Styela clava: one gene and its partners. Each later gene encodes a partner of the first gene's protein in a complex. Links are inferred from orthologs where the notes say so. Each region holds a gene or a part of one and is shown on either strand. Other genes may lie near its edges.

Region 1 (10,013 bases):
ATTATAGATGTTGTTATACATGTGAATGAATAAATTAAAGGTCAAGTAAGAGTGAAATGTTTGTTGGACACGTAGTGGACATAGCGATCGTTTCAATATTATGTTGTTGTTGTTCTTATTGTTGGACACGTAGTGGACATAGCGATCGTTTCAATATTATGTTGTTGTTGTTCTTATTGTTGTTCCTAGTGTCCTTGTTCTTTGACACGTTTTGAAGAAATCGTTTTTCTCTTCGGATACTGGACCAATTGCTTTGAAATTTTCAGTGGTTAAAGATAAAATTTTTCTTCAGAAGGCTATTACTTTTTTTCAAGCTATGACGTTATCAAAATTATTCCCACTGGGTGGCGCTACGTGTCCATATATTTGAGCACAGCTCTCTTGTTGTTCTTAGTGTCCTTGTTCTTTGACACGTTTTGAAGAAATCGCCTTTCTCTTCGAATACTGGACCAATTGCTTTGAAATTTTCAGTGGTTGAAGATATAATTTTTCTTCAGAAGGCTATTACTTTTATTCATTTTAAATATTTCTGTTAGCTCTGTGAGATTTGTTTGTGTTTGCTATGACGTCATTAAACGTTCTGCGGACATCGGACGCCAGTTTGTGTCCTACTGTACTGCTTCGCTTGGTGTGAATATATTTGTAGACTGTGATCTGACGGTACGGTAAACCGTACTGTACTGCGAGCAGACGTGTCCATATATTTGGGCGTAGCTCTCTTGTTATTAGTATAACCGTAGTAGTATATATTTACGGTATACTACCGTGTTTTCCCGAAAAATAGACCTACCCCGAAAATAATACCTAGCCTGAATTTCACGAATTATTTTAATATAAGCCCTCCCCTTAAAATAGGACCTAGTCAATAACGCGAAATTTTTACGACCTAGTCTATAGAAAGAAATCTCTCTTACATGTTTTAAATGCTTAATAATCTATGTTTTGCAGATATTTTGAATCAAAACGTGTTATTCGTAAGTAATTGGATATCGGTTTTTATATTTTGCATATTTTAAAATATCGTAATCCGTTGTACTTTGTTATTTTATTTTTGACAAATTAAAATATAAAACATCCCTTGAATAGAAGCCTTAGTGTTATTTTTAGGAAGAGAATTGAAATAAGACACTGTCTTATTTTCGGGGAAACACGGTACTACGGCGGTATAACAAACTCAGACCTATAACGTGCTGCCCGGCGCGGCTGCCCCTGTTCCAACCCCCGCGAGTAGGAAAATAAAACGTTCTAGATAGCTTGATTTAGGTCAAAATGTTCATATCATTATCAGTCACAAAAATGCCTGGGCTGGTCTAATCTCAACTAATTTAAACCGCGTAGTGGTTTTTGGAAAGCTTAGTCATGTCTCAAACATCCCTTTGGGTAAGGTTTCGTAACGCTTTGAGATTGAGCCTTGAGCGAATATTTATGCCAAGTTTCATTCATTACAGGTGTTGAAAAAATTAAGCAAACTTCGAAATGTTAATGTAGTTAATGTCGAGTTATTTATAGCAGTGTACAACATTTGTAATATAATAATCTTATTTTACAGGTTTGGTCTATTTTATTGTGAAAGTGCGTCTAAACTAGTGATTGTCAAACTTTAATGCGCCTGCGGATAAAGTTTTTTTTTTTATCAATTCTAAAAAAACATCATGTTTTAAAACAAGGGCTTGTTTTAAACCTAATTTATTCTGTATATTATGTTTTTTCAATTAATGAAATTCCCCTGGCTGGCATCGCCGTGAAACTACGTCAAAATGGTGCGTTTTGACAGCTACGCATGTTGCCGGAATAACAATTTCGAATATGTAAGATATATGTTTATCCGAGATACCATGGAGACGCTTCGAATAAAAAAGGCAAGAAAAATTATGAAATATAGCTCACGGGCCTACTACAATACGAAAACAGTTAGATCAGGGACCCGCTCACCGCCTAAAAATTGGGCAAAACAAGTGCGTTAATACGATAAAGGATAATACACTTTGCTCGGCATCAACCTTCGCATTTTCGAACGAATGAAGGCCGGATTCAGACGATGAGACAAACTGGGGCTAGGCTTTGTGACAAGAACAGCGCAACTGTGTCATAATATGACTATTTCGGTTTATGTATTATGTATCATCATAATTATGTACATCACGGTTACATTTTTAAATTGCGTGAATTACAAAATTTGGTTTGAAGCCCCTCGGCTTCAGCCTACCGTGTCTTATGATATATCCGGCCCTGCTTCGAATCCCATGAGCGATGTGCAAGAAGATTGCTAGTATCGTCGCAGTGCGGTTCACGCAATAACTTATCGGTTGCGTCTTCTTCTACTAACCACGTCATGGGACGCATTGCGCTACAGCTTGAAAATGCATGTACGGGCAAGTCATCGATATTCGTGGTGGTGTTCGAAGGGTTTATTGCGAATAAGAAGCGATTGGCAAGTTTTCTGTGTTAGCTTTAACCCATTTAATACTAAAAAATCAAATAACACAGCCATTTAAAACAAAACAGGTAAAAAAGCATGATTTTAAGCAATTGATTTGAAACAATTCTTTTCTAACAAATCCCTACCTGCGGACCCCTTATGCTTCCCTGAAGTAACCCCGGACGCCCACAATTTTCAAACCGAAAACACAATAGAAGAACATAGCATAGAGCTATTCGGACAACATTTAAATTAGCTGCCACTCCTCGCGTACGCAAATAGCTTAATTTATCTCATATGATCTTGCACATCAAGTTTGTTCCTTGCTTTCGTCTTGATTTGAACAAGTGTAGAAAACCCACGCTCACATAAGTAAGTGGAGACGAAAGGGATAATGATTTTAAATGCGTTATAAGTGACGTTATGCTCACAACTACTTGTTTTTGTGCGAATTTTCGTTTTCCGCTTTTTTAAAAACTACTGCAAAAAGTGCAGATGTAATTGAAAAAATATCAGCATTTTTTGATACAGGAGACCTGAATTGGGATAAATTTTTCTCGTATTTTCGGCGCCCCTATCATTTCCTCGCGGACTCCAGTTTGAGAACCACAAGTCTAAACATTTTTTCATGCGTTGCGTTTTTTGTGAACCTTCCCAAATTCTCGGCCTTCTGTCAGTGTTCAATTTCGATTTCATGATTATATTCTACCGAAGGGTTTAAAATATACTGTATATACGTAACTTATAAGAATGCAACATTCAAGGCTCACAGAAAAAATAGCAGTGATTTTATGGTTTCTTACGGGCCGAAAAATCAAGGGACGCGAGATGCTCGAAGGACCTTAAAGCTTACTGTGATCCGAGAAAGGTTTTTGTACAGCGTTTCAACGCAGACGATTCAACATCTGAATAGTCCATTCATTCAGCAGCATCTGAATTCATTCATTAAAATGCGGTGTTCAAAACCTGATTTTATTTGATTCGCGGAATGACTGTGCAAACCGAGCCGGGCCGAAAAATCAAGGGACGCGAGATGCTTGAAGGACCTTAAAGCTGACTGTGATCCGAGAAAGGTATTTGTACAGCGTTTTAACGCAGACGATTCAACATCTGAATAGTCCATTCATTCAGCAGCATCTGAATTCATTCATTAAAATGCGGTGTTCAAAACCTGATTTTATTTGATTCGCGGAATGACTGTGCAAAATGAGCTTTAGTTGAAACTAAGTTTAAGTACAACTAATAAAAATGAAGGCAGTTTTTCAAAGGCGAGTGAAACAGTAGAAAAATGTAAGCAAGGAATAGTCAACGTGGAACCACAGAGAAAGACCCTCTCTTTCACATACCTAAATCATATTCTCTCAAGCTCCCTTTGGTTAACTGGTGTCATAGTGTAGCGGGCTCTAGTGGTGAATTATGCAAAACACTGAAACTTCATTAATATTTAAAACTTAAAAGCTTTAATTTCCTTTTCATCTGGCGGAAAGAAAATTACTGGAAAACCAAGTCATAAAAGTGTCAAAAATGAAAACAATTAAGATAAAAGGTCAAGAATTATCACTTGATGGCGCGTTGTCCTAACGACGGACGATAACCAGCGCTGTTGAGGATTCGTTATCATCAAGCTTGTACTCAGTTTGCTTCGCTCTGGCTGCGCTTGTGCATTGACGTTTTGTTTTACGGGGAAATACAGCTGGTACCGGTTGACTATGTTTTTAATAGATTACTTGAGATTTCAGTATCGTATACTTTGGGATGATTTAATTGTATTTCTTATCCTAAATTTTTAACACGAGAATCGAAGAAACCCGAATTAACGTTACTGCGTTTTGTAATACCTTTTTCTGTTTTATCTGTAAATTGGTTCGATTACTGGATGGTTAAGGTAATTGAGATAAGCTTGCGAAACTAAAATATTCAACGAGTGCTCTACCTGAATACTGTAGTGTAAAATTGTATTTCAAGGTTTATGCACTTTCAGACCACAAAATGGCATATCGTTATCTGTATATGGAGCCACTCTGGATACAGGGATATCATGGCCTTTCTTCATGAGAAATTTAACACAGATCACAATAACTAGTATGTACTATCCAACTTTTAACTTCTGCGGCGGAGTACGGTAGTCTACACCATATTTCGGACATCCCACGACTAGACTATATACAGATATATAAACAATATATATTTTTGAATCGCATATACAGGAAACAAATGGTTGGGTTATATTTATTACTTATTTCAGGCTTATAGACATTGTTTCCATATAAGGTCTATGATTTGCGAATATCAGTGACATTACGCAGCAATGTGGTTCAATTATCTAAATTCCACCTGAATGTTCTGCGTCAGGGCGTTGATATACAAATGCAAGTTTGAAGATACTGGTAACGAAGTCAGTTTATACTGTTAGAATTTGTCAGCACCGTTTATCAGTGGCTGTTTCATTACACCACCCTTCAGACTGTCAGTTATACTGAGCGAACAATCACAATTTTCCCAACATGCAAGATGGATTTCGCTCGAATGCATTTTCAGGAAGCGCTAGCGCCCACGGATGTGGTTTCAGGTTCATATATTGCTTCGTTAATTATTTTAAAATAATAACATACAAATGCATGTTGATTTATAGGGCATTTGGGCATATTTGCCACAGGGCCAGCATACTTAGGTAACCCGTCGGCACTGGTACAATGCAATTATTAGTTATGTAGAACTCTAACCCAAAGGTAACTATGTCTTTAAGTCCATAATCTAAAACAAATAACTGACAAACTAATCCCATACCTGACATGGACAGGTAACCGAAAGACAGACCGTGGTATGTCATTAAGCTGTTTCATCAACTTTCCTCTCCCCGGGATAAATATGAAAATCCTATCTTATAAATCCACATGTGGCCCATTTATATGCTATAATGATTAAACTACTCCCAATGCAGCTGAAAAACAAACTCATTACCATCTTAGGTCACCCTCTGCGCTGGAAAGCTGTGTACTGCAGACAGTATTGAAATGCATTATGCAGTTGCATGTTTTACCCTCATTTGTCAACAAACCTAAAACGGCGCATAGGCCATAAGTGTATATTATTTGTTGGAACAGTCAAATGACACTGAAGGTCCTAGAGTGATTGTGATACACGCGAGCATAATATCAAGATCATATCAATATCAAGCACATCTGCATGTTGATGTTATCATCGTAGAAAAATTCTTCCCAAATATTATCATTCCAAAATTTCATGCTTTATTTTTTAGTGTCTCTGCAAGTTGCCATGTGGAAAATTAGTTCATATCTTCAAAATCTTTATTTCGTTTCAAAATATTCAAGCAGCTGCCATAATATAAAGTTCTGACAATAAATTTTGTTTTGCTCCAGTCTAGCTATTTTTTATATTATTTAGATATCATATTTTATTTAAATTTCAGAAATATCGGTGAAAACTCTCATATGAAGAATATTTTTACTGTATTTCGTTTTTCTTACCTGACTAGAGTAGGAAATTATGCTTAATTTATTTCAATTCTACATATCAATATTCGGTTCCCAAGTGCCAGATAGTTACCCCGACCTCGGTTTGGTTTGTACAAATAGTATAGATATATGGTTCTGCCTCGTTTCGGTTCTCGAATCTAGTTCTTTAATAATCGTGAAATATCCCAATTTTATGAGAATTCACTTTTAAGTAAGATTTAGGGTCTGAGCATATGGATATTGCAGAACAACTAATCCTATTCAATCAGTTGCGATAAAATTCAGGTAAACCTATATTTTTCTTGTTAAATTTCAGATAAATATTAAAAAAATATTTAGGATGGGTGTTGATTACTATTCTGTGTTGGGTGTCACTCGTAATGCTACAGATAGTGACATCAAAAAAGCTTATCGCAAACTAGCTTTGAAATTTCACCCAGATAAAAACAAAGAGCCAGGTGCATCAGAAAAATTCAAGCAAATAGCAGAAGCGTATGATGTTCTGGCTGATAATAAGAAGAGAGCTACCTATGATCAGTTTGGTGAAGAAGGCTTGAAAGGTGGAATTCCATCGGATAGAGGGGGATTTACCAATGGGTATACTTTTCATGGCAATGCGGAAAAAGTTTTCAGAGACTTTTTTGGAGGTTCAAATCCATTCGCTGATTTGCTAGGAGAACCTGATATAATGAATGCATTTGGAGGAATTCATGGGAGAGGGAGAAAGAAGCAAGATTCACCTATTGAAAGAGAACTTCATTTGACATTAGAGGAAATCTATCATGGATGTACGAAAAAAATGAAAATCTCACGGAGGGTTATGAATGAAGATGGGCACACTTCTAGCATTCGAGACAAAATCCTCACCATCAACGTTCGTCCTGGATGGAAAGCAGGAACCAAGATCACTTTTCCACAAGAAGGGGATCAAGGTCCAAACAATATTCCGGCTGATATAGTTTTTGTCGTTCAGGACAGGCCCCACACTTTATTCAAACGAAGAGGTAATGATTTGGTATATGTTGCAAAGATACCACTCGGAAAAGCACTTATCGGGTGCAGCATTGAAGTACCCACACTCGATGGCAGATTTTTGAACATACCAATCAATGACATCGTTCATCCAAAATATGAAAAAGTTGTACCCAAGGAAGGAATGCCTTTTTCTAAAAGACCATCAGAACGAGGGAATATGGTGATTGAGTTTGATATTCAATTTCCAGAAAAGTTGACCCCAGAAAAGAAACAACTTATACGGCAAGCACTTCTGGTTTAAATTTTACTGAACTCTTAACACAATTTTTCACATGCTTGTATATAATAGTTTATATATTAGTTATACGTATTGTACAATTTCTAGTGTTTCATTTTTGTTGTATGACATTCATCTTCATCTGCTTATGAGTACATAAGACACCAGTTCTTTCAGTTTAATAGTTGTTTGTTTTCTCAATGTGGCACAAGATCAAATCGTACCCACTTTGTAGCTGATTGAGCCAGTTAGAACTGCATACCTAACATATATGCATGGTTGTTTTTGTGAGAGAAATACTATTCTTGCATTGGAATAACTTTTAAGATTTGTAATTCCTTTTTAGGTTTGTTTGTTGACACATTGTAAAAGTCAAATGATAACTTGAATTTTTGTGGCACAGGAATTGTTAGTCCAAAAATTATATTACTGGTAAGAATTCTTCTCAGTAATCAAAAATATTTAGCTTAAACTTCAAATTAAATTCGAAACTACTGTATTTCACTGTAACATTTGACTTTTTAAACATTTATATTCAAAATGAGACTACATAAATTCCAAAGTGCCAAACTATACTAACCCGGACATTTTTATGTCTCATGTTCAACGCGAAAGTCAGAGAGACATTCAAACGTCACGGCCTGGATTTTATAAGAAATCTTTGTAACGTTGTAGCATGATGGGGCTACAATTTTATGCAGAAAAAGTAAAGAAATTCTAGGAGACTGATGTTATTTCCATCGCATATTTTAAACAGACGGCCTATACTGTCTGCGGCAATTTGCTCAATGTAAAGTTTCGTCTTGCCGCAGTAGATATTGCAAACGCTAACATTTCAATCCATCCGCACATACCAATCTGTCTCCGGAGATGTTATCTATATTTGACTTTGCCTTCAGAGGTTTCATTTAAAAGGAAATCGGACTCTGAGGAATACATGAGTTGCAATTAAGGTGGTGGCATTTCGATACTTTTTGCCATGCTGATACTCACCTATAAGTCTGACACGCCTCATCGCTAATAGCTTTGCTGTTTTATCACGGTAGTCATCTCATAATCTGATCGTTCACACACAATGAGAAACATGTTTCATCAATAACTCACCAGAAAGAAAAGAGTCATATCCAATTGTACATGATAGGATTGGGTAATTATTATTGAAAATATAAAGAATAATTCGAAAAAAAGAAGGAATGTAATCAAGCATAAACAGTGATGAATGACATCGAAAAAAGATTCGGCGTAAATTGTCGCATGCATAAATTACAAAAGGATTAGGGACGTCATATTGGACAGTTTTATGGTATTGAATTTTTACAGTTGAAAAAATGATTTTCCCATCGCTCAATTTTTTTTTTATTGAGAAAGCGACACGCATATAATAATCTCAGGTTAATTTTAATTCCGCAAGAAACATATTTCTAGTTCACTTTAATTTGCTTTAAAAGCTTTTCGCGGATGGACTCATATTCAAAGACAACCATTCGTAGATGTTGCCTCGGTAGTTGAATAATGTCCCTTGAAACCGCACGAATGTCGTATATTGTGATAAATTGGTATTTCCAACATTTTTCTTCTTTGTTTCGAGAAGTTTTTTTCCGCTTTTCCTCATGACCGTTCAATATCGCGGGAGTGATGGAAGATAGTACAGTTTTTCTGTGCAGATGGAAGTATTGAATTTCCCCGATTGTTTTAATTGGTTGTCGATATTTGACAGACTCCACAGAAACTGCCATTTGTAACCCAACTTCTTGCAAAAATACAGTTGATGTATCACCCGTGCTTGGCGTACGTAATGTTGAGTTTTCATCAACGATTGACTGGGAAATATGCCACATGCTTTTTGTTATTTCCGCATAATTGCTGTAAAAAATGACCGTTTTGGATTTTAAATGAAGTTGAATAAATGACGATTCATCTCTTACGACATTGTTGGGACACAATACCAGAGATGACATCGCAAAGTTCCATTTACATGTAGGTGAAGTAGAGTCGCCGTTTGTCAAACGACTGAGTTTTTTCCGTAAATACTCAATTATTCTTCGGAAAAGGCTCATCTCGGGTGAAAGGTTTTTGCATTTGATATTTAAACTGCAAAACGAATATAGTAATATCAAAGAACTATAGCACTGTACAAATAATTTCGTTAGTAGCCTACTGGATGCGGTCCGATAGGCTATTTCAGTGGTCGGCAACCATCAGACCTGTTGTTGCAGAGATCGTACCGGGGGTCGGCAGCCTACGGCCCGCCGGTCTGATCCGGCCCGCGTAGTAATTTAATCCGGCCCGCGACGCTTCACTGAATTTGAATTATAGTAATAAAACAGCTGTTTGACGATTATATTCTTTACGTAACAGACTAAACTATATCATAACCTGACAAGTATATAATTCACAATTACTCGTTTAATGAGCCTATAATTTAATTATTATTAGACAAATGGCAACAAAATGCAGTAAAGTTGAGGCTAAGTGCAAAGGGTTCAATGACGCCGAAATTATTCAAATGAAATTTTTTGAGATAAAATGCAATGAGGAAATAAATCTATATTCTATTCGAGAGATGTATCACTGCTTGATTTTTATTATAAAAATTATCATCCGTCCGGTTTTCAACTTTCTAAAAATACGGGCGTCCCGCCAATGACTTGCAACCCCTAATTTTGGCCCGCGAGCGACAAGAGGTTGCCGATAGGGATGTAAGTTTCGAATATTTTTTTTTTCGAATCGAATACCGAATATTTTTTTTTCGAATCGAATATTTCCGAATCGATTCTGATTAATACAACATCACTTTTTCTTTGACTTTATTCAACACACACAAGGTTATTTTTCAGTAAACACGCATATTAATACATGCACGCAT
Region 2 (10,971 bases), about 16 Mb from region 1:
GGGAAGGCTGTGGACAGGGGTATATTTACTTGGCTAACACACTCGTAACTGTCCCCAAACTCGTATTAGAACTACAATAAGGAAAATCGTAATAAAATTATGGCCTAACCCTAACCAGGTACACAAGGGAGTATCGGTTTTTTTTGTTTCGAACCTTTAGTTCTTCGTCATCCTGATGATGTGGGTCGATGGCAGGTAACGGCGTCTTCCGCCTCCAAGTCCATGCATCCGAAACAAACAACGGGTCAAAAATTCCCATACTTGAACATGAGCAAGTAACCTAAACCTAACGAGAGGTCGTGATGCGCCATATAATTAAGCTTCTGCTTCCCCAGACATGCGTATGCAATTCTCGTGAAACCCAAATCACAGCGTAACAACTATACTGAAACTTCCGTGATTTGATGGCTTGACACATGTTCAAATTGATTCCAATTCATTTATTTTGCAGCGTCTCCACTGACAAATGTAATTATATAGATTAGTAACCCGAACTCTCGCAATCTACGCTTCCGTCCACAGAATACTGCAACAGATTTTACATTAGTTCCTTGTATGACGCGGTTAACGCGGTTACGTTTATATCGAAGATTGCAGGGATTAGAGCATGTAATAAATTGGATAGGCAATACCGAACCGGGAATAAATTCATGTTCTACCAAATAAAAGTCGCTCCGTAGTTATAGTGAGTTATCAGTGGCTGCTTGTACGGGGACTTTTTCGAAGCGGAAGGCGCGAATAAGTGTCATCTACAAAAATCCAACTTCATATCTGCTTACTTGTACAAGGTCGCTGGTCGATTGTGGCTTCCCCCTTCCAGGCATAAATATGAAATTCCTGTTCTATACTGATTACAGCGTATGAACTATACTCACACTTCCGTGATTGATGGTTTGACTAATGTTCAAATGGATTCCAATTCCATTTTGTTTTTGCAGTGTTTCCACTGACAAATGTAATTATACAGATCAGTAACCCGATATGTCACGATGTTCGCTCCCGTCCAAAAGAATTTACAGCAGTTCCTGGTTTGATGCTCATCTCAATAACAAAAATCAAAACAATGTATTACGCGATTTATTCCAGCATGAACTCGATCATTTGTCGATGGATCCTCTGTTACCGGTAGTTATTTGGTGCTCCCGAAGTATGTGCACCAAGATGGTATGTGCACACAACCTGAACATATGTGTACCAGGTTAGGGTTATCAGGTTGTGCGACAATACTTCTTGGAGCACCAGTTATTTTAGGCCAAAGACGGATATCCCATGATTCCAGAATGAAATCGGTAATTTTTAAATCAACAGAGTATTTGATGGAGTTCCTTAAAGTTTAGTTAAAATAACGAAAGATTGGCCTTTTATTGTAGATGATGGCCGGTAGCCCAGTGGGTAAATCATTGGAATAAACTTCTTTGGCATAGCGGCTTGTACACTTATTGGGTTTAAATTCCACGTCCGACACCTCGTCTAGGGTGTAATAAGTTGGGTAGACCAGGGGTATGCAACCTTCAATTCAGGAGGGCCAGATACAAATATAACAATATAAATTTTGATGTTTCAGCTAAAAAATAGCTCAAGGTATTTGTTGAGATTTTTAGTAATAACAAGGCAACCGTGATGTCAGAATATATTAATAATTTAAATTTGCTAATTTCCAATATCTACATGAGTTCTGTGATTGTCGTACTGGTGTTTTATATCACGGTCTGTCAAATCGTGGTCTTCGTGAGGAAAGGCATTTATAAAACATGGAGTGGAAGCTTGAAAGAGGTTTTCAAACCAGCAAATCTGCGCTTTAGTATGAATGCAACTCTTATCATCGCTGGGGTATTTGGAGTTGCCGCGGCTGTCTGTTCTTGTGCCTTGATTGCCTACAAGCTGGCCGTTGCGCCCGATAACATGGAAATTAGCGTGGTCGGATGTAGTTTTATTACTGATCCTATTGTGGAGTCTAACTGCAAAACATTCACGATAGTTGCAACGATGCTCGACATGGTATTATGGCTTCGACAAACATTGTTTTACAAGGAACCCACGGTGAAACGCCTCTCATCCAAGCATTTAAGAAGGTTCAGATATTTTCAAGGATGTTTTATAGTTGTATTCCGCATTGGTACAACCGTATTAGCAATATCCCTCCGACTTCTATTCTCTGCTGAAGTCATGCTGTCGGCTTTTTCAGTGATACTGGGAGCTCAACTTGAAATACAAATAGCATTGCTTGTTTTATTTTTAATCCCGTTAATTAGACATAAACGTAGATTAAGATATCTTCGACAAAATGAAAGATTCTCCGATGATCTCAGACACCTTATGAAAAGAGCAATCGCAGCGACGATTGTATCCTTGCTATCAGATATACTTGTAGTTGTCATTGTAATCGGAGCGAATCTATCATTTCATTCTTTTGGTGCATTGGTAAACATATCATGCATTCTATTTTGTTTTGCCGACTGGAGAGAAAGATTTCTTCCGTGCCTGCCGCTTTGTAAAAACAATAACCAAGAAGCCGAACAGGCTACTCCTGATGGCGACATAGCCGAAGAAGCTGTATGAAATATACTGGGATCTTATGTAATTCAAGTGCAACAAACAGTGCCAGTGGTTTTCAACCTTTTTATCGGAATCCCAAAGAAACACCCGTTAGACTCGAAGAACCGTTGCAATATTCAAATTTATTTTTACTTCCCGAATTAAACATAAATATTTATTTAAACAAATCTAGGCTGACAAAACAAAATTATCTTTAATCTGAAAGCTTTGGCAAGCCAAACAGGTATGTGGGTACTCCTGAAGTATGCGCACCAAGATGTCGCATAACCTGAACCCCAACCTGCACCATCTTGGTGCACATTCTTTAGGAGGTCCGGTATTTGATTAGGATATATTTGAACAATATAAAATGATAATACAGACGCTAGGATTTGGATGTAATTTGAGGGACCTCTGCACTGCGCTGACGGAACCATATGGTGCCGCGGAAACGCTGGCGATATTAATTTCTACTGTTATAGGAACTGTACGGGGGTGTTGAGGCGGAGTAAACTCGTTTGACTCTGGATGGACTATTGGGATTTTCATACCAGTCGTGAGGAATGTGGTTCAAGAATTAGAAAATCTGAACTACGAAAACATTGTTGTAACTGATCAAACATTTTTTGTATAGACATTAAAGTTCTTCCTATTTTTCCTTTTTTTATATGTCTTTTACAATTGCTTATGCACTATGCAGATTACTTTTTAGTCATTATTGGTGTTGTCTACCTTTTAAATATATCTTTGTTTACGTCATATACGACGAGGCATTATTATAGTTAGGATTCATCCTTTCAGAGGTGTCATTTCGAGATGATTTGTTTTTTCGCTGTTTCATTTACCCTGAAATTCCATTGCCATTCCATTGTGATTTAAAAAAAACTATGCTCGGGGATCGTTGCCATTTCATTTCGATTTTAAAAAAAAAACTATGCATACTGATTAACTCGGTGTCTTTGCAGTTAACGGTAGGGTGACCATACATCCTCCTTTTAGAGGATTTGTCCTACTTTTTCGTTAAAAAATTTATGTCCTCCGAGGACGCTCTGAAACGTCAAAATGTCCTCCTTTTTCAAGGGATTAAATATCTAAAATTCTGTTATGATATAATCTACCGTTTTCGATGTGTTAAGAAAATTTTAAACCAAGTAGAGACTTGTAATTATCATTAGACATATGACAAGCAATAAATTGCGTTGTGATAGCATATCATACGGGGTTACTCTACTAGGAGTCTAGATTAAATGCATACGCTAATTGTTATACATACTCGTTTATGACGTAAAAAGTGGATTGTTCTGCAATTATGTTTTACGTCATTTCACCTTATATTTGGCAATGGTAAAATTTCGATTTCGCCAATAAATTACATCAGTAACTTCAGTAAATTTTGCAAAACAGAAAAGCCTTTTTTTACCCAGGAACCAAAGCAAGAGTATCCATGATTTAGAAAAGGTCGAACTGATAGCGAAATGGGGTGCATTACTTGCGGCTACGCTACGGTACTTGCTACTGGCGAATGAAGACAAGCTCAGCTTACAGTTGCACGTTGATCATTTGCAGTCGTTTCTTGCTGTGTTTAATGAACAAATAAGGGATAGTGATTATTCAGGGGCTTTCATTATTAAAATCAAAGCTTGTCTTAATGCTGTTAAATTTACGATTGAAGAAAGAAACAAATATTCATACAATCCCAAATCTGAATTGCGTAGACTTCAAGCCATTTTTACGATATTGCAAAAAATTACGCGGCAGTGTTGACAAAGATTAAAGGAAAAGCCAAATACTCATGATCCAAGGACAAATAAATTGATTCTTCTATAGATGTTTTTTCAATAAAGGCAAAAATGCATTATTTCATTTTCGTCACCTCTATATTTAGTCCTAGAGAATTTAGTAGATGTATAATCTCAGGCACATGTGAAATAAGGTTCTACTAATGTTAAGATATCGATGGTTCTACCAAACGATGTGTCCTCCTTTTAGGATTTGGAAATATGGTCACCCTAGTTAACGGGGATTGTTGCCATGGAATGGGTCATTCCATTTCGATTTAAAAAAACTATGCATACTGATTAACTCGGTGCTTTTGCAGTTCGCGGGGATCTTTAGGAGCAATTCCGTTTGCCGGTGGTATTAACGAACGCTACTGATAGCGAATCAAGGACATCGCCGCAGAAATTGTTACCAGACGCAAGCTTTTTCTTGGATTATTTCTCGTGCGGATATTAAAATGGTGGAACACGAGCCTGTGTGCGACTGAATATCACGAATTTGCGCGATTTCTCGTTAAGTACAAAGCTATTTCAACCCCGATGCTTGCCTATGTATATTGATTGCTAAAGAAGAGCTAATATAATATTTCGAACGTTCTCCAGAGCGCTTAAATGCAACAGGTATGTAGTATTAATAACAGGCATTTCAGACTACTTTTAAGTTGGTTGTGAGCCTAATAGATAGGATTTTAAATTCAAGTACTTCATTAAAAAATATGTTTAATTCTGATTTTAAAATGGTATGTCGGTCAGTAGCGTTCTGTGAGAATATCTCAAGCGCAAACCTCATTTGAAGTTTTAACAACATTCCCAATTTCGCTACGTGTGTCTGTTTTGTTATACTGTGTAATTATTGTGCAGATACTCTTACAAATTTGAGGCAAATAAACATACATTGTATGTCGTTGTTGTTTTGTACCGCTGCGTTCAAAAAGAAAAAAATTACCTATCGATCTGTCAGCCAACGACGTTGTATTTTAAACACATAGTTACTCAGTACCTGCTCAGTACTGAGCCATGAGCCATCGACGGCGTTTATTTAGTCATTCCAGACGAGCGACGAAAATAGAAACAAGTGCACTTGTGTGTAAATGAGGTCAAAGTCCGTTTAAAACCGCCGTACACGGCAAACGTGTCTCGATAAGCATAGCTGTAGCGTGTAGAAAGAATTTCATTAGTCTCTCGAAAGACAGGTTTGGTGTGCGCATCCGCGTTAAGTCGTCAATGCCGGAAGCGATTGTATTTTACATATAATGTCATTCAGAAGATATCCGTTCAAATAAAATGAACGTCCAGAAACTGTGCAATAGATTCGATACGAGTGTTCCCAAATTATATCGTTTTTATTCGACCCGCAGACACCAATTCAACGGTTGTCATGGTCACCCTGATAACTCGCGGGACTTGCCTGTGCGCGAAGCTCGTCGTTTCTCGACGGTAGGGTCGGACTTTTTCGTTTAGCTTGTTTAGCTTTACATATTATTATAATATGACCTTGTCTAAATTCAGAAATATTAGCGCAGTAAGGAATTATTGAATTATTCTTTTATGGTTACTCGGCCTCGTAACCAAGGCCGATTTCTCGTAACCGTCACCCTGTTTTAAAACGCTGACATAACGATCAGCCTCACAACCCTCATAAAATATTTACATTGTGGTAGTCTGGGGTTAATGTTTCAACCGGAACTTTAGTATATAACGCTTGTCAGATAATGTAGTAGTTCTCTGGCATTTAGAATTCAGTACAGCATGAGTAATGTTTAAACATGGTTGCCCTGTCTTCCGTTTACTAGAAGTTGGCTAGGTATTTACAGATTAGGATTGTGAATGCAGTGAGATAATGCCAATATAGTCTTAATTTAGACCCGTAGGTGCCAGTTTTAAATTGCTCAAGGTAGTAAAAATTGAAATTTAGAGTCTGGTGTTTCGCAAATTACAGAATTAAGAATTTGGTTTCTAAACTTCACAGCTGAAAACTTGTATATAAGTAAAATATATTGTATTGTGAATTAGAATTAAGATGCCTCCTCCAGAAAATATGTATTGTGCTGAGCAAATTAATGTTCCACCTGAGCTACCGGATATTTTAAAGCAATTTACTAAAGCCGCAATCAGAACCCAACCTCCCGACGTACTTTCATGGTCGGCAGCATACTTTTCTGCTCTTTCTAGAGGAGAAGCACTCCCTGTGAAACGACGTTTGGAGCCAGGCGCGACTGGATTAACAATTGGCCTACTCGACATATTATATCAACAACTCCACGAAAAGGACATGATCGGGTCTGAACTCCTGGAACAAAAGTGGAAAGAACTTGGCCTTCCTAAAGAACAACTACAAGAGATAATGAGTGCTGGAAATTTCGTTGAAGAGATGGAATTCTTGAAATTCTTCGCAGTTGCATGCAGCCATCTTGGAGGAAAAAGCGTAACCCAAGCTATGAGAATCGTATGCCAAATCTTGACAGATGATCCTGATGGTGGCGCCTGCAGAATTTCATTCGATAGTTTCACCACTCTCTTTAAGTACCTTGCAAGTCTCAGCCGCGAAATTTCGCAAGCTCAAATAGATTCTGTTCTTGCTCATCTCAAAGATGACGTCGAAAAGCAAGCAGGAATGGTGATGCCAAGAAATTTCTTGAGCCCAGAATGCCCAAGTCTTGGATAATTATTTATACATTATTGATGTTGTATTATAATAAATAATTGTACAATTTTAATTTTTTTATGTTGAAGGGGTTTATTTTGTACTGTATGCTGCAAAACGGATAGAACTACATTCTTATAATTTCAAAAAGTTCCATACAATTGACTGTTTCATATTCTTGTACATTCAAATAACACACTGTTTTTATTTTTCTGCATTGATAACAAATTGTAGATAGGACCCGCAATGTCTATGTGTCCATAATATCTCAAATTCCGTAATTTTTATTGAAGTCATTTCATTACTTTAGCACATCTGCTTTTAAAAATTCGTCCTCTCCACTGTTTTATTTTTTCGCTTCACAGTTTTCTATAATTTCCAATGACAAACTTCTGAAACTGTTCTATTATGTCAAATTTGTTTTAAATTCATCTATTTGATGTATAAGCATATTTTCTTTGGAATATTTGAAAGTGTACAAATGACCCATTTTAGCTTGGAAGGCTTTTAGTACGGCGAATGTTGAACTTTGGAAACTATTGGAAATATTTAAAAAAATATGTGCTATATTTAAGATGATATCTATTCATAATTTGAAACAGTGTACACCGTTTGCCATTTTTTGTCGTTTTGGGTTGAAAATTTTTATAATAAATTATCCAATTTTAAGTCAATAATCTTATCGAAGAGTTCTATAAATTGGCGGTGTCCCACTCACTTATAATTTTATGTTCTAGCATTTATGATTTATATTTTCAACACTGTTCTGATTCGTGTATATTTTAGTTGACCACATTTGTGTATTTTTTTAGAACAAATTATCCCAGTTAAAATAGAATTATTCTCTATTAACAATGGATGCCAGTCCACCTATTATTCGTAAATTACCTCCTATGCCACAAGTCAGGCTTAAGAATGGATTAGTTATTTCAAGACTCATTAATGGAATGTGGCAAGTTTCCGGTGCACATGGAGACATTGATCCAAATAAGGCTGGTAAGTTTTTTCTGTTATTTTAGATTATTTTTTCTTCTGCTTTTTGAGAGTTTTATGCATTCAATAGTAAGTCTATTTCGTCAGACCAAAATCACAGAATAACATTTGTGAAAGTGTGATTGAATTTTGGAGCTATAGTTATCGGAATAATATATTTTTTCATATTTTCAATGTGTATTTAAATTAAACATACTTGCGCCTTACTGTCTGTTATTCGTATTTTGTTGTTAGCTAGTTGTTTCTGACTTGAGGCACGAGAAGAATTCCACAAAGGGGAAACACAGCTTAAAAGTTTTAGTTTTTTTTGTCACCTTATCACGCATTTAAATATGATTAAGAAGTCATAAATTATATATTTAGCTCAGAGATTTTGTATACCAAGATTCATTGTCTGGTACTCTCATTTTTTTTTCAGTGAACGCAATGCATAAATACTGTGAAGCGGGATATACCACTTTTGACATGGCTGATATCTACGGACCTGCAGAAATTATTTTTGGCAATTTTATTAAAAATGTGAGTGTATAGAAATTGACTGACTTTTGATAAAGGCCTATAAATTTTTTCTGTTTCTATAGAATGGTCTTTTACATTATTTGTTACCTTTATTGCTTGTCTTATTTGTGGATAGTAGACATAATATTATTCACCGGAAAATTTTTCAAATAGGAAGCTGAAGTATGCACATTTGTCAGCATTTTTTATTATTAAATCCGACTGCATTACACAAAAGAACCCTCTATTAATTAAGAGCCCATTTCACGCCTTCACTCACTCGGTACAAGGCTTTAGACGATTTATACGGTATACTGGTATAGAAGAAGCTAATATTAAGAAATGGCAAATATATATTTTACAATAGGGAGTCATGTGCTTATACTCTTTAGGGTTTTTATGTTAGTTTAATAAAGCATTTTTCACTTTTCTTCAATAGCCATACAAATTGGGCTTATTTTTGAAACATGAGAAAGACTAGCTAGATAAAACACTTCTGTCTATATTACTGGTGTATGTGGCAATGTCCCACACAGTATGGCACATTATTAAAAAAGGTTAATATATACTCTGTACATGTACGGTACTTATATATTTATACTTATATAAGCCTCCCTTGATAAGACAGATGGGAGTGGAAAGTACTATACTTCCCTTATTTGCCATTCAAATTAGAATAGGACTTATTTTTAAAAGTTGAATTTCAACTAGATAAAAATACCTTTGTCTGTATGTTTAACTAATCACATTACTGGTTTATGTGGCAACGTTAAAATATATTTTCGTCTGAAAAATGTCACAGTCTGACTGTATCCGGGGAATTAGTCTTCGGTTGTTGGAAATTTAAGTTCAGAAAAATAGTTTTTATCAACAAAGATTTGAAACCATTTTTTTAGTGCAGCTTTATATGTAATAACAATAGACCGTTGAATCACTTCGAATAAAAATCTGATAATATTCTAAATCAATTGAGATGAATTATTAATTGCAGTACCTAGTTAAGTAATAGGTAAAATACAACAAAAGGATAACGAAATGGTGAAATCAGACGATAAGATATAATGCAATATCCAGATAAGATGCATTTTTTTATGGTTTTTCTCAATTAAAGCTCCCATTAAATGCCTGCAGAGTTTCAAAGTACTTTATTTAAGTATAACTGTTAATCTGCTGATAACTACACTACCAGCATTTTTAAGTTTCATTATCGATACTGACTAGTTTTCGAGAACCCTATAATTACTAAGGAATTAGTTGAAGTTGTCTATACGGCTGTAGAAACCGTATTATTTCAATTACTGTATCATCATCATAATTACCCTACATCTTATGCAATATGATTTTGATAAATAACATGGAAATTTGAAACAGGTTTGGCAGAAACAGGAAAAAGGAATAGGATGAAGTTGTATATACGACTATTGATTATATACGTTTTTATATACTCAGTAGGGCCTATAATATGGAAAGCAAAACTTTTGTGCATATCTGCTTTGTAAAAAAACAATTGCTTTTGACTATGCTGTACTTATTCTCGTTGATTATTGTGTGAATCTGGGAATCTTGCTGACTTCCACGACCCTTGGTCGTACCGTCATATGCCGGTCATTACCAAAACCAATACCAAAATGAATGCATTGTAAATCTATTATTTCAATATATAAATCGGCCCGGCGGTGTGGCATATCGTGCTACACCTTTGATTACACTACTAGGGCTCGCAGGTTCCTCGCTGCCGTAGGGTGGTTCATGTAACTGCTGGTCAGCTATGGCTTCCTACACCATTAAGTACATGCTTCTGAAAACAAATAACTGGCTAACTAATATCAAACCCGACATGGACAGGTCACTGGACGAGAGATCGTGGTTCCCATCCCATATGATTCAGGTCGTCTTATCAGCTTCACAACCCCCTTTTTTAGTTCTGGATCAAATTTCAAAAACCGAATTGTTGTCTATTTAATTATAGGACTTATAATTCTAGAAAATCATTTTTTTATCAAAAGACATTTTGACTAAAACTTTTCCGACTCTATTTTCAGCGTCATTCGTTTCATCCAAAGAATTCTGTGCAAGCGTTTACGAAAATGGTTCCGAGTGCAGGTCCAATGACTCGGAATGTGGTCGAGTCAGCGATAACGAAGTCAATGTTACGTATGCAAGTCAAGCAATTAGACGGCCTACAGTTTCATTGGTGGGATTATAAAGACAAAAGATATCTGGACGCTTTGCAACATTTGTCTGATTTACAAAGGATTGGGAAAATTCGTGAGTCCTTTTCATAATCATAATTTTTTTTTTTTATATTCCTAGAAGTACTTTATTGTGTACTTATATGGAATAACCACGGTAAGCCTCTTAGTTAGGTCATTAATAATATATTTTGTAATACATGGGCATGGTGGCCAAGTAGCTTAAGCGTTTGATTTTAAGTTATGATGACTTTTGATGGCATTGCAGGTTCTAATCTTTGGTTCGAGTTCCCAACACTAGGGTGTTATATATCGGGTAGGGAATGGCGAT
Region 3 (12,533 bases), on another chromosome or scaffold:
GCATGAAAATTCTATGGCCCACTAACTTTCTCATGCAGGGAAAAAACTACAAGAAAAACGAGACTATTTTTGCCAAAATAAATACTTTCACTTTAATGATTAGAATGAAAAGTAGCAGCATCATTCATAGCCACTACAATACTACTATAATGACACAAATGAAACTAAACTTTCCAATAATAATAGTAATTTTTGATAGGCTTGTGGCCCACTTGAAAAGACTCTATGGCCCAGCAGTGGGCCATGGCCCACTGGTTGAGAACCAGTGGTATAGAGTAAAAAGTAAGGTATTGTTGTTGATTCAAATTTAACTGAAAATGCAATAAAACAGTAAAGCAATCTTGTAAATATTTAATTAATCATTCAATTTTAAAATATCATAAGTTCCTTTCGCATTTCTTGAATCTCTCGCAGGGTAGTTGATACGTTGTTGACCAACGCTCAAATAGAGCGACACGAAGGCCGCACATTGGTACTGGTTCAGCCTTAGCTGAAAAGCATCATCGTGAAGGAATAAAAATTGCTTTCCATCATTTTCAAGTAAATATTGGGACTAGAGGTAAGATCGGGCCCAAAAATATCAGCTCAACCCAGGCCCGTGGGTATTAAACCAGACCCCGACTAATTGACTGAATTTATAGGCCAGAGCCCGAAATTTCATATTCTATTTAGGAGTTCTTTGAATTGTCATTGCAAGAGTTTAGTACAGTATGTGTCATGTTGATGAGGTAACTTCTGTTTTTTTTGCAAACCACGGTCTCTCGTGGCCGAAACGCCTCATTTAAAAAAAAGTCAGCGATAGAGAAGCCCGACTCGAACGTAATGATTGACATTCCAGGCCCGAATTTCGGGCTCCTGTTTTTAGCTCTAATGGAAACCCATTTGATATTTAAAAAAATGAATAAAATTAATAGCGTTAACTATATTGAAGTGCTAAAAAAACTTGAAATTGATACTATTGGTTGTTAACTTGGCATAACAATTTCGCGCACGTATACATTAACTGCTTGTCTATGACTGCAGAGGAGAGAGATAGATTAGCTTATCATTAATTTATTTTGTGTTTAATCACTTCTGATAGTCACAGCAATAAATTAAAATTAAGCAAAATATTAAAATAAATAATTCTGAATATCAAATAAAATTCAATTTTTTAGAAAGAATTTTTCACAATGATAAAATAGAATCTGCATTTCTGGTCATGGATTGTCAGGTCTGATCTACTTGTAAGACTCTTCTCGCACAAAAAATCGATAGAGCATGTCCAGACAGAATAATCTCATTTCAAAGCTGCGGTACCAATGCCGCAGTAGTAAATCTCACAATGCATATTCATATAAATGTTTGCTACAATTTGTTGACAAATTTTACAGAGTTTGAAATTAATTGAATATTCTGTGAAGTTCAAAAAAAAAAAATTATATATTTAAGGCTTCAAACAGTATGAATATTGGCTTATAAATTTCAGTGTTGACATAACTGAGTGTTTGCATGTCATGGTTGGTTGAATATCAACTATTTTGCAGAGGTTGAAGTAAAAAATACTTATAAATTTGAAATTTAAATACGATTACGTGTACCGCTCTGGGGTGTGAACAATCCAAACCCCTATCTGCCTCCAACCCCCATTCCCTTTACCCCAGCAAGATTTTAATCTTTTAATCAAGATTTTAATCTTTCTAAAAATAGTTCCATGCATGTCCAAGCCTAGTTTAAGCAAGTTTTTTTTTTTGAAGGAAAAAATTCAAAAATAAATATTTCTTCAGCTAAGTTTGAGGCAAGATAAAACTTGTTTTAATGATTGGCAAGGTTAGAATTTCAGACACATGAAAACTAAAAAATTCTAATTTAGAGAATAATTAAATTTTGAATATGCTACTTATTTCTGAACTAGGTGATAAAGAAATAAAACCCATGGTTTCCAGAGCATTTAAATAATTACTAATAACAGACAAATTTTAAATAAAATAAGACCGGATAATTCTCTCCCTTAACCCTTTGGGTAACGCAACACAGAGATAAAATCTATATATATAGTATGATTTCGACAATAGCAAAAAAGTTAGACAGCATAAAGATAGAATTATTATCCCGATCCCAAAAATTGAGAACGAGTGGGGTTCGCTGGCGAGTTGTAAATGTCCCCAATCAAAATGTTTATTCATCTTGTCAAATAATGTTAAACGTCCTTAAACACCTTGGATTGGTAACAAGTTAAAATCCTGGTCTGTGATATTCAGAAGTTGTTCTACGAACTTCCTTACCCCAAGATAAATATAAAAAAAAATATATAAAGGGTTGAGTATGAGGACAAATCTGATCTAACCTACGTTTTTCCTGATCTCTGAATGTCTTCGAGAGTGACCGACAGTCCTACTCACTCATAGATATTAAAGAACTATAACTCGTCTTTTATCCCAGAGCTAGTGGCCGCACTTAGCGAAAAACACTTCAGAATATTGACTTTTTTCTGTAGTTTTTCTTTCTTATTTTTTGCAACGTTATCCCCCTCCAATATCGAAACCATGCGATCAATATTTTTCTGTACGAAATCTCGCCCTTTTCCGATCATGTTTTTAACGATCGAAATATACATTTCGCCATGTTCTTTTTCCTCTGCTGTATGGAAATTTTCTACGACATTTTGTAGTTCATTGAAAACGGCTTCTTGAGTATCTTTTTGCCTAGAAAATATGAAATAAGAACAAAATGTAATAAAATTTTTCAGTTACCGCCCAATAATATACAGGGTGTCCAAAAAGTTCCGCCCGATTTCATAACATTACCAATTGCAAATTTGAATAAATTTGGTCGTATGATAAATGGGGACTACAACATTTAACATCTCGAAAAAAAAAAAATTATTTCATTTGATTATAAAAAATTTATAACTGGGCGAAACTTTTTGGAAACCCTGTATGAATACCCACAAGCACTGAAAAAGTAATAATAAATAAAAATAGAAGAATTGCTGAAGAGTTAAGAAATGCGGAGAGATGTGTGCAACTTTTTGACCCAGAAGTTGTGCCAATGGATGGAGTTGGAGATAACTCAAAAAGGTCCAATGTAATTTAACATTCCTGACTCATTTTTTTGGAGGCTGATTACAAGGACTGTATTAAGCGAAGTTCTACAAACCCCCTAAATCCTGGTGGTAATGATTTAGATATACAAACCCTCCTAGTGATGACATAAATTTTTCCGCCAATGAGTCCAATCTTTCCAAGCATCCATCAAGACCCACGTAGATGCCGTTCTCTCGAAGAAATCTGACAATTTCAAAGTGAGTTGTGCCACCGGAGTGTGATATAGGACTGTCAAAATCACCTAAAAATTGAAATTTGAGTTTATGAGATAAGCGGCTCCATTTTGACTGGAAATTCACGTCCCAAGTTAACCATCTTAAACTGTTTAGTAGTCTTCTATAACTTTGCCCAGAGTTGAGTCTCCTTTACTTCTGAGTGAGTGCCTGTAACTTTGCTCGGGTATGAATCTTCTCCAATTCTTTGTGAGTGCACATAACTTTGGTCAGAAATGACTCTCCTTCACTTCTGAGTGAGTGCATGTGACTTTGCTCAGAGATGAGTCTCCATTACTTTCGAGTTAGTGCCCCTAACTTTGCCCAAAGACTCTTGAGTACTTATAATGCACCACCCTAAGTCTATTCTGTATCTCATAGCATTTCAGTCGCCGAAACTTTTCTCCAAGTCTCCATTACACAAGTGCAGTTTTAAGTATTCTGTGGCGTCTGCAGCTGCCGCAAAACCATGGCGGTATTTCCATACCATGGCCAAACCTATGGCGACTGACTTTTTAGCTGCCACAAACCAATGTCGAGCTGCCGTTACCGCGGCAGCAAATCGAAAACCAATGGCAGGTGAAATTTTGCTGCCGTAACCGCGGCAGGTGGGTCGTAAAGACCTTTATGGTGACAAATATTGGGTAAATTGGAACGTTTTTCTTATAGATACAGTTTTGATGGATTTGGGATTAGGGTTAGTGTTTAAGTAGATATAATTCCACATGATCAATTAGAATATGATACATTAATTTGTGAATATACTGTTAATACTGATTACTGAATAGCGCTATAAAACCATGGCAAGAGCTGCCGCGGTTCGTTCGTGGCAGGAGCTGCCATGAACTGATAAGAACTGCGCCTCCCTTTACACTTACCTTTGAAGAGTCTGTACTGAGGATAATTATCCTTCCTGATTCCATATCTATTGGCCAAGTCCTGATTTTCCTTTTCACCGTACTCTGCAAGGAATTCAATGATATGAGTATTCATTGTATCAAGCATATATATGCCATAAAACATGAGTGAGATAAATTCTCGCTTCTACTGACTTTTTCATGTTTTGAAAAGATATTAAACATAGGCTGCACATCTGTGTCAAGTCTTTGCATTAAATTGGGCAAGTTATGCCGAACCAAAATTATCAGCTCGTAAAAGCCATATTCAGTGGTATGTTTCTGATATCTAAGATGTTGGCTCTGGCTCAGCGGTGTGGCGCATCGTGCCATGTATTAGGAACACACACCACTGTAACCTCTGATTAACCTGCGTGGGTTCTCTGAATCCTGCGGGGAATAATTATATGTGAGAGGATTGCTGGACTCCTCGTCGCTGTAGGGTGGTTTCACGTAACTGCTAGTCAGTTACGACATCCTCCACCATCAAATCCTTGCATCCGAAAACAAATTACTGGCTAACTAATCCCATACCCGGCATTGACTCGTAACCGGACCAGCCATTTTATAGGCTTTCCTCTCCCCCGGGATAAATATGTGAATCCTACAGTGATTACCATTTATTCCAACTTCTGCAATGATGAAATCTTCAGTTTTCGAGCTGAGCGTTGCCAGTTTTCTGAATTCTTCCTGATGTTCTCCGTGTGGATAAGCGTTGTCAAATTTTATTAAAATTGATTTGAAAGACTTGACAACCTGGAAAGATACGGATGAGCAAATCGTTGGTTAAATGTTCCGAGTTTCCTTACGGATTGTTTTGGTCTAAACAAGACTCTGAACAAGCAGAAATTGATATGAAAGAAGCCACCATGCTTTGAAAAACAAGAATGTCTGTGTGGCACTGTATTCGAGGTAAAGGACATTTTAAAATGTCAAAACGAAAATGTCAAACTCAAACTTCAATTTATTATATTAATTGCAAGCTTATTGATAATTTAACAAATTTTTCATAATTCTTTCATATAATTCTTATGACTTTATTCTTTCACGCTCTTTTCAGCTAACTCTGTGCTTAGTCAAGATCGTATCATGCCAATGTGAGACATGTTCTTTTAATTTGAGCATCTCTTCTTAATAATTAATTAATTACTCAGCAAACAAAAATGTTTGATACACATTCAAAAATGGAGTGTTTCTTTTTAATAATGACTCAGCAAACAAAAATGTTTGATACATATTCAAAAATGGAGTGTTGTGTAGTTTCGTCCGAAATGGCTGCTGCGCCAACCATAAAGAACTCACTAACGGCAGTGATCTTTCGCATATCGAAATCATTGCAACGAAAAAAAAATTGAGAAGTAGCTTGCTCAATTTCGGGTGATCGCTTGTGCTGTTGTGTGTCTCGGATGAAACTTTGTATAGTTTCAAAGGCCTTATTACGTCGTACTGACGTAACTTTCAGATCACACAGTCAGGTGGGTGATTGATATATACAAAATTGGTTGGGTGCTCCCGCTACAAGTACTTGAAGTACGAGACCACACAAGACCCCAAAAATGCTCTTACCTTATCAAAGGTCATGCTATCCAGAGACAAAGCACCAGCCACTGCTAGTCCATTGACTTTTTGAAGACCAGTGGTTTGTAACAGGAGAATTGCGACAAAAACTGTAGAATATAGTGACATCATGTTGTGGCCTGTTTATTGGTATGAAAATTATTTCGAAAGTCAGAAACACCTTTTTCTCTCTGAAACATAAAATAGGTTGCATAAGATAGGTTTCATCCTAAAAAACATGTGCCAATTCTGTTGAGACACATTCCATTTCTGAATACAGGAATATGATTTAGATGTTTCTTTTTCCTATTCAATGCTACACTGATTTAACGATAACATTAGTTCAGTATTATAGTCTACGACTTCAATTGGAATTCAATTCTAATACTAATACCAAATTGCCACATTGACCACAAAAATTAGGGCATTTCTGCATTTGTAGAATTTTAAGCAATAATTGTAAGATATCCTAATTCAGTAGTCTAATTGTTAGCAAAAATCCTAAAAAACACCTTATCGCGCAATGGTCTATTGGTCCCTATTCTTTTTGGAGCCAATGCCTCATGGATTATAAGTATTATAAATAAAAACTCACCAAAATCCACTCGCGAGTAGAACACATTAAAAAGAACAGAAACATAACCGACATTATATAGAAACGTGTCGCAAAATGATTCGTCAAAGCACAGGTGCAAATTTCACACGCCGGCTTGTTTATATTCAACGTTACTCAAGCATGAATATTACGTCATATTCCGCTGAAATTTTCATGGTTTTTTAGAATCATTTATTATAAATTTCGAATTTTTGTTAAAAAATATATACATTACTTAAGATAGATATATACATGACGTGATAGTATAAAAGTTGTCAGAATTTTCAGAAGTATGGCTCAATTCAAATCATATAGGACATAAAAGTACATGAGTATTATGACTTTGTGCACTTGCATACATGTTTGTGACGACACTAGTCTGATTTTTTTTTATTGAATCACTATAATGATAAATTTTAATCATGATCATAATTAAATGTGTCAAAAAGGCTGAAATTTTTTTTGAGATTATGCCTTCGTGGGGCTTTTCTCGTACGCGACATTTTTGTTTTGATTAATTCCTTCATTGAAATGTTTATTAATTGTGTTTGCTTGTTATAGTTTGTTAGTTTTTGCCTCTCCACCAATTCTCCAACGTATTTTATTTCGAAATCTTATCTTTATTTAATTTTGCTCTGTTTATCATCTCGTAGGTCAGGATAAATTAGAAAAGGAGAAAATAACCATATTAGTCGTGATTACGTTACGAATAAAATGATAGTATATTATTATATAATTTAAATTATATGATTATTTTCATTCAATTAATTTTTTTTGTAAAAATATTTTACTGTTTCAAGAAGGACAAGACCCCCTTCACGCTTGGTCAGTTTTCGCTGTAGATAAATTCAGCGTTGCTATAGAGACCACTGTGAGTTTGTTGTTTTTACGTCACTCACGTTCGGTCTGAGCTAATCCGAATAGATCTAAGTTCGTATAATAGTGAGTTATTTTGAAGTTTAATAATTGAAAAAATGTCAGATGAATCAGATGTTGGAGAGGAAATCACGGAACCTCGCACTACAGAAGCTGAGGGGGACGAAAAACTCCCGGATAACCCTCTAATACAAGACGTCATACCAGAATGTCTTTCGTTGCTTTGCAAGATAGGAAGCGGGCTAACACACGCTTATGTGCGCTTGGATGTTCACGATAGAGACATAACAGATATACAATTATTGAAAAGTTTTATCCATGTTCGTTATGTGGATCTTTCAGGCAATTTTCTACGGGACATCACCCCGCTCAACCATCTGACAAATATGCTGACACTGAAGGCTGATAAAAACCAGCTCACCAGCCCAAAACTAGAAGCCTTACCGTTCCTGCAGATTGCAAACTTTGCCAACAACAAGATCACAAGCACAGAAGGTTAAAAAGCTTTTATGTTAATAATAAACTATCTATAGGCGGTGTGGCTCATTGTGCTTTAAGCGTTAGGAATACGCTCGTCACCACATCTCTGTTTACTCTACCTGGGTTTACAGATTCGAATGTCATGCGGGTATGATCATGTGCGAGAGGATTGCTGGATTCCTCGCCATCGTAGGCTGGTTCACGTAACCGCTGGTCGGTTACGGCTTCCTCCAACATCAAGTCCATTCTTTCGAAAACAAATACCTGGCTAATTGATTCCATATCTGACACGGACTGGTAATCGGATGAGTGGGTGTAGTTCACCATATGATAAAGCCATCTTATCGGCTTTTCACTCCCACGGGATAAATATGTAAATCTAAGAATTAAACTTGAACGAAATCACCCAGCACTTTGTTCATTCTTGAGTCCCTGAATATGTAAATAAATGAAAGTAAATTGAAAGGAATGCTTGACCACATGACGAGTGAAAAATATATTAGGAAATTTAATGAGTGATTTTTACAAAACACTCAGTGGTTTATCTTTATTGCATAATATAGTAGTATTGACATTTTCTAACTCATATGTTGGGTTGTCCAAAACGAATCGAATATTCGAATGTATTCGAATATCAAAGTATTCGAATACCTTTTCGGCTGATTTTCGAATAATTCCGAATAGTAGCCACTTTTCGCCGTAAACGTGGTGTTTCGTTTTACGGGAATATTCAAACGACTTTTTACGCTGTCTCACGTATTGTAATGACGATGAAATAGAATCGGCATTTTGATTGTTTATATTCTGTGCGACGGTACGTCGCATAGTGTTGCGACATATTTGCACGTTTGTGCGGGTGGACATTGCCGACATTCGTCTACAAGGCTTTTAATTTACAAATTCATTTTCATTACGTCAAAAATTCGTCCAATGAGTCGCTTTTCTAGGCGGGGTGGGGGCGTCTAATTGAGAAAGTATGTTTATTTTATTTCGATGTGGCCTGCTTTTTATTCGCATGAGTCTTCTCAAACATGATTTGTGTAACCTTATATTTGGGTCTTAGGGCCTGCCAATCATGATATTTAATCGCAGGCCGGTTATCGTTACTTTAAAGAGAAACACGGCCACCGAGATAAAGTGATTTGTGACCCTTTCGTTTTGCCGATTCAGCAGAACACGACAGGGACAGGAAAACACAGCTGTGAAATAACCCGTGGACGTACAGTGTAGTACTTATCACATTTCAAAATTATTTCAACATTCGGGTTAATAGGTTGTCCAAAATGATTGCCGCTTTACAACTTAAATTTACCGCTCATTTGTTAAATATAGTTAAATGATCTGGTTCTAAACATATAAAATTATTAGCGCATATTAGCATAACTGAACAACAGGGACACAATTTTTTTACCCGTCTTATTGGGGCCTATATGGAAAAACCCCTTTTTTGAGTGCTAAAAATAGACATCGTCCTATTTGCCATGTGGACTTATTAGCCGGGAAATACGGTATTCATAGCCGTAATTGTTACGTATCAAATAAATAGTCACAAGTTGGAAAAAAAAGTCGATTTATTAGAAAATAATTTCTGGCAAATAATTTTGATAACGATAGTTAAAAGTATCGATCCTTTACCAAGATGATTTTTGTTGCGCAAAATAATCCAATCCATGACTGGTAACAGCATTTATTAAAATGTCATGCTGTATTAATTTAATTCTGTTCAACGTAACTCATGGTTGTATCGACAATCTGTGGACATAAAATGTGTGGTGAACTGACCGATATTATAAAATATTGATTCCTATTTTCATATTGATAAAATAATGAAAGTATTAATACCAAATACCACGGGTATTTGTGGTCATGAAATATGTAGTAAACTGCCCAATTAGAATTAAATTCTGATTCGTATTTACAAAATAATAAAACTATATTTCTAAAATGCAACGGCGATCTGTGGCCTTAAAATGTGTGGTAAACTGCCCGATTTACCAACATTTGAGTTATGATAATAGAATTAAATTAACACGGTAAGGCATTTCAAATAGAGGTATCGGTCATGGATTCGAATATTTTGCGCAGCACAAAATCATCCTAGTAAAAAGTCCATACTTTTAAATACAAACCAATGGCAACCATTATCCAAATTAGTTCCCAAAATGCGGGATAAAGTATCAATTATTTTCCAACGTGTGACTATTTTTTCGTGAGTACGAAAATAAGAATTAAAAACTAATTATATTCGGCACAATATCATGGCGATCTGTGGACATAAATTGTGTGGCAAACTCGCGATTAATATTAATTTTTGATTCCTATTTTCGTATTTACAAAATACAACGGCGATCTGTGAACTTAGAATGTGTGATAAACTACCCGATTATAAATAGTTTTTGATTCCTATTTATAAAATAATAAAAGTATTATTACTCAAACATGCAACGGCGATCTGCGGACTTAAAATGTGTGGTATAGTTCCCGAATATAATTAATTTTTGATTCGCATTTTTGTACTCACAATAACCAAAATAACTCATACTTTATCCCGCTTATCGGCAAATAATTTGGATAATGGTTGGTGTTTAATTAAGAGTATGGCCGTTTCACTAGGATGATTTTGTGTTGCGCAAATATTCAAATCCATCACCGATACCACTGTTTAAAATGCCTTGCCGTATTAATTTAATTCTGTTAACATGACTCATGGTATATAAAATATATACTGGAATATGAAATGCCTGGTAATGAAGCTAGGTTGTAACTTCTAGATAGCAGTTATTCCATTGCTTATTGTATGGAAATTCCTACATACATTTAGATAAGCTTCAATTAGTGAATTTTATTTTCGAAGTATTCGAAATTTCATATTCGAAAAAAATAATTTCGAATGTATTCGAAATAGTGAACTATTCGGTATTGGCCATCCCTGGTATATGGTATGATTATTAGGACAAGTTTCAACTAGTTAACTATTCTTGTTGTATACCGTATTTCCCAGCTAATAGGTCGCTTTTCTAAACCCAATTTTGTGGCCTGATTTTGGAGGGGTCGTCTTATTGGGCAGGTGAGCTTGAAATATGATTTGTGTGAAACTTATATTTAGTTTAATATTTTTTATTATATACCCGATGACGCCAAAGGGTCTCCAATCATGATATTTAATTGGCTTTATACGGGTAGCTGTTATTTGTCATATTCTTTTTAAAAACTGCCATGTAGTAATAACTGGTTGGTGTCATGAAGCACTCCCTCCCCATTCACGTCCATCGTTATCGGTACTTTAAAGAAAAATACGGCCACGGAGATAAAGTGATATATGACCCTTCCGTTTTGCCGGTTCGACGAAAAACGACACAGACAGGAAAACACAGCTGTGAAATAAACCCATGGACGTACAGTGTACTCCTATCACACCTTATTTAGATGTTATTTCAGTGTTTGGGCTAATAGGTTGTTCAAAATGATTGCCGCTTTTTAACTTAAAATTAACGCTTTATTTAAAAAAATAGTTAATTCTGGGAGTATGATTCTACCAAATAAACATGATCTGGTTATAACCATATAAAATTATTATCGCATAATAGTGTTTAGCTGACCAACAGTAAAGCAAGTTTTCTACCCCGTCCTATTGGACGGCTATATGGAAAGACCCTCCTTTTGAGTGCCAAGAATTGACATTGTCTTATTTGCCGGGTAGACTTATTAGCCATGAAATATGGTAATTAAACTATGTAACTTGGAACCGGACGAGAGTCCATGGTTCGCTATATGATTAATCGGTCTTATCAGCTTTGACGATTCCATTCAATTTATTATTTATTCATGTTTTTACAGGAGTTGAGCATCCATTACTCGAGCAGTTAAACTTGAATTCGAATCAGATCACATCGATATCTGGACTTCACCCAGGAACTCTGACAAATCTTCATACCTTGGAATTGAGAGGAAATAAACTAGGTAACTAATAGTTGAATACCTCGGCCATACTAAGGATCAGGGGGGGGATATTGTTTAGGAATCAAATTGTCCCTTTTTTTAGAAGTGCAAAAAAAACAGTTTTTGTATCAGTTTTTGTCCTCGACTTATGACGTTGTTACGTTCTCGAGACGCGATGTAACCCGAATTTCAGTGTAAGTCGAAACATTATACTGTACAGTGCCCAAATTACTCTACACATATCGTACTGTATTGTAAAGTATGGTACTGTAATAAAATGTACAAATAATGCAAAAAAGTACTTTATTAAAAAAACAGAAAACAATTTCATATCACATTATGAATAAAAGCAAATACTGTACAGTACAGTATCATCTTTTATATTTTTAATGGGGTGCGTTCGTAACCTCGAAACATCGTAAGTCGCGACCGTCGTAACCCGAGGACTCCCTGTATAGCAATTTTTCGTAGCTCGAAACGCTGCTAGCTGGTACGGTCTAACCTGGTAATTAGAAAGCTAAGTAAAAACGGTGCAACGATTTTGCTATTTTTGCATTTATTTCCCTGCAATTTTCTTATGGGAGCACACATGATGTTGCCGATTTCAATGGAGTTTAAAAAATAAAACAGGTGTAGAAATGCTGGTACAGCGTCTTATTTAGAGAGTGACGCGCCTAATAAAAAGAAATATCACTCTAATACGATTTCCTCCACTATCAAGTCCATGCTTCCGAAAACAAATAACTAGCTAACTAATCCCATACTCGACATGAACTCGTAACCAGACGAGAGGCCATGGTTCGCCATATAATTAAGTCGTCTTATCCACTTTCGTCTCCCCGGGATAAATATGTAAATCCTATCCTAACATGGAATTTGCATTATATTCCAG

What was found.
Region 2: dnaJ homolog subfamily B member 13-like (region 1) and ropporin-1-like protein share a complex: the UniProt entries of both Homo sapiens proteins name them as parts of the axonemal radial spoke complex. The link is inferred for Styela clava from reciprocal best matches to the Homo sapiens genes DNAJB13 and ROPN1L.
Region 3: dnaJ homolog subfamily B member 13-like (region 1) and leucine-rich repeat-containing protein 23-like share a complex: the UniProt entries of both Homo sapiens proteins name them as parts of the axonemal radial spoke complex. The link is inferred for Styela clava from reciprocal best matches to the Homo sapiens genes DNAJB13 and LRRC23.

What each region holds. Positions count from the first base shown.
Region 1 is NC_135258.1:21,470,439-21,480,451, forward strand, and holds dnaJ homolog subfamily B member 13-like, read left to right. Parts: upstream 1-6,212; 5' UTR 6,213-6,235; coding exon 6,236-7,171; 3' UTR 7,172-7,329; downstream 7,330-10,013. UniProt on the Homo sapiens protein: Functions as part of axonemal radial spoke complexes that play an important part in the motility of sperm and cilia.
Region 2 is NC_135258.1:5,478,924-5,489,894, forward strand, and holds ropporin-1-like protein, read left to right. Parts: upstream 1-6,237; 5' UTR 6,238-6,333; coding exon 6,334-6,978; 3' UTR 6,979-7,775; downstream 7,776-10,971. Other genes in the region: uncharacterized protein LOC120338783, read left to right, coding at 7,812-7,953, 8,369-8,469, 10,491-10,716. UniProt on the Homo sapiens protein: Functions as part of axonemal radial spoke complexes that play an important part in the motility of sperm and cilia. Important for male fertility.
Region 3 is NC_135264.1:17,882,629-17,895,161, reverse strand, and holds the start of leucine-rich repeat-containing protein 23-like, read left to right. Parts: upstream 1-7,209; 5' UTR 7,210-7,320; coding exon 7,321-7,717; intron 7,718-11,539; coding exon 11,540-11,662; intron 11,663-12,533. Other genes in the region: endoplasmic reticulum resident protein 29-like, read right to left, coding at 2,399-2,684, 3,177-3,327, 4,177-4,260, 4,812-4,950, 5,761-5,883. UniProt on the Homo sapiens protein: Essential for sperm motility and male fertility. Plays an important role in the proper assembly of the third radial spoke (RS3) head and the bridge structure between RS2 and RS3 in the sperm flagella.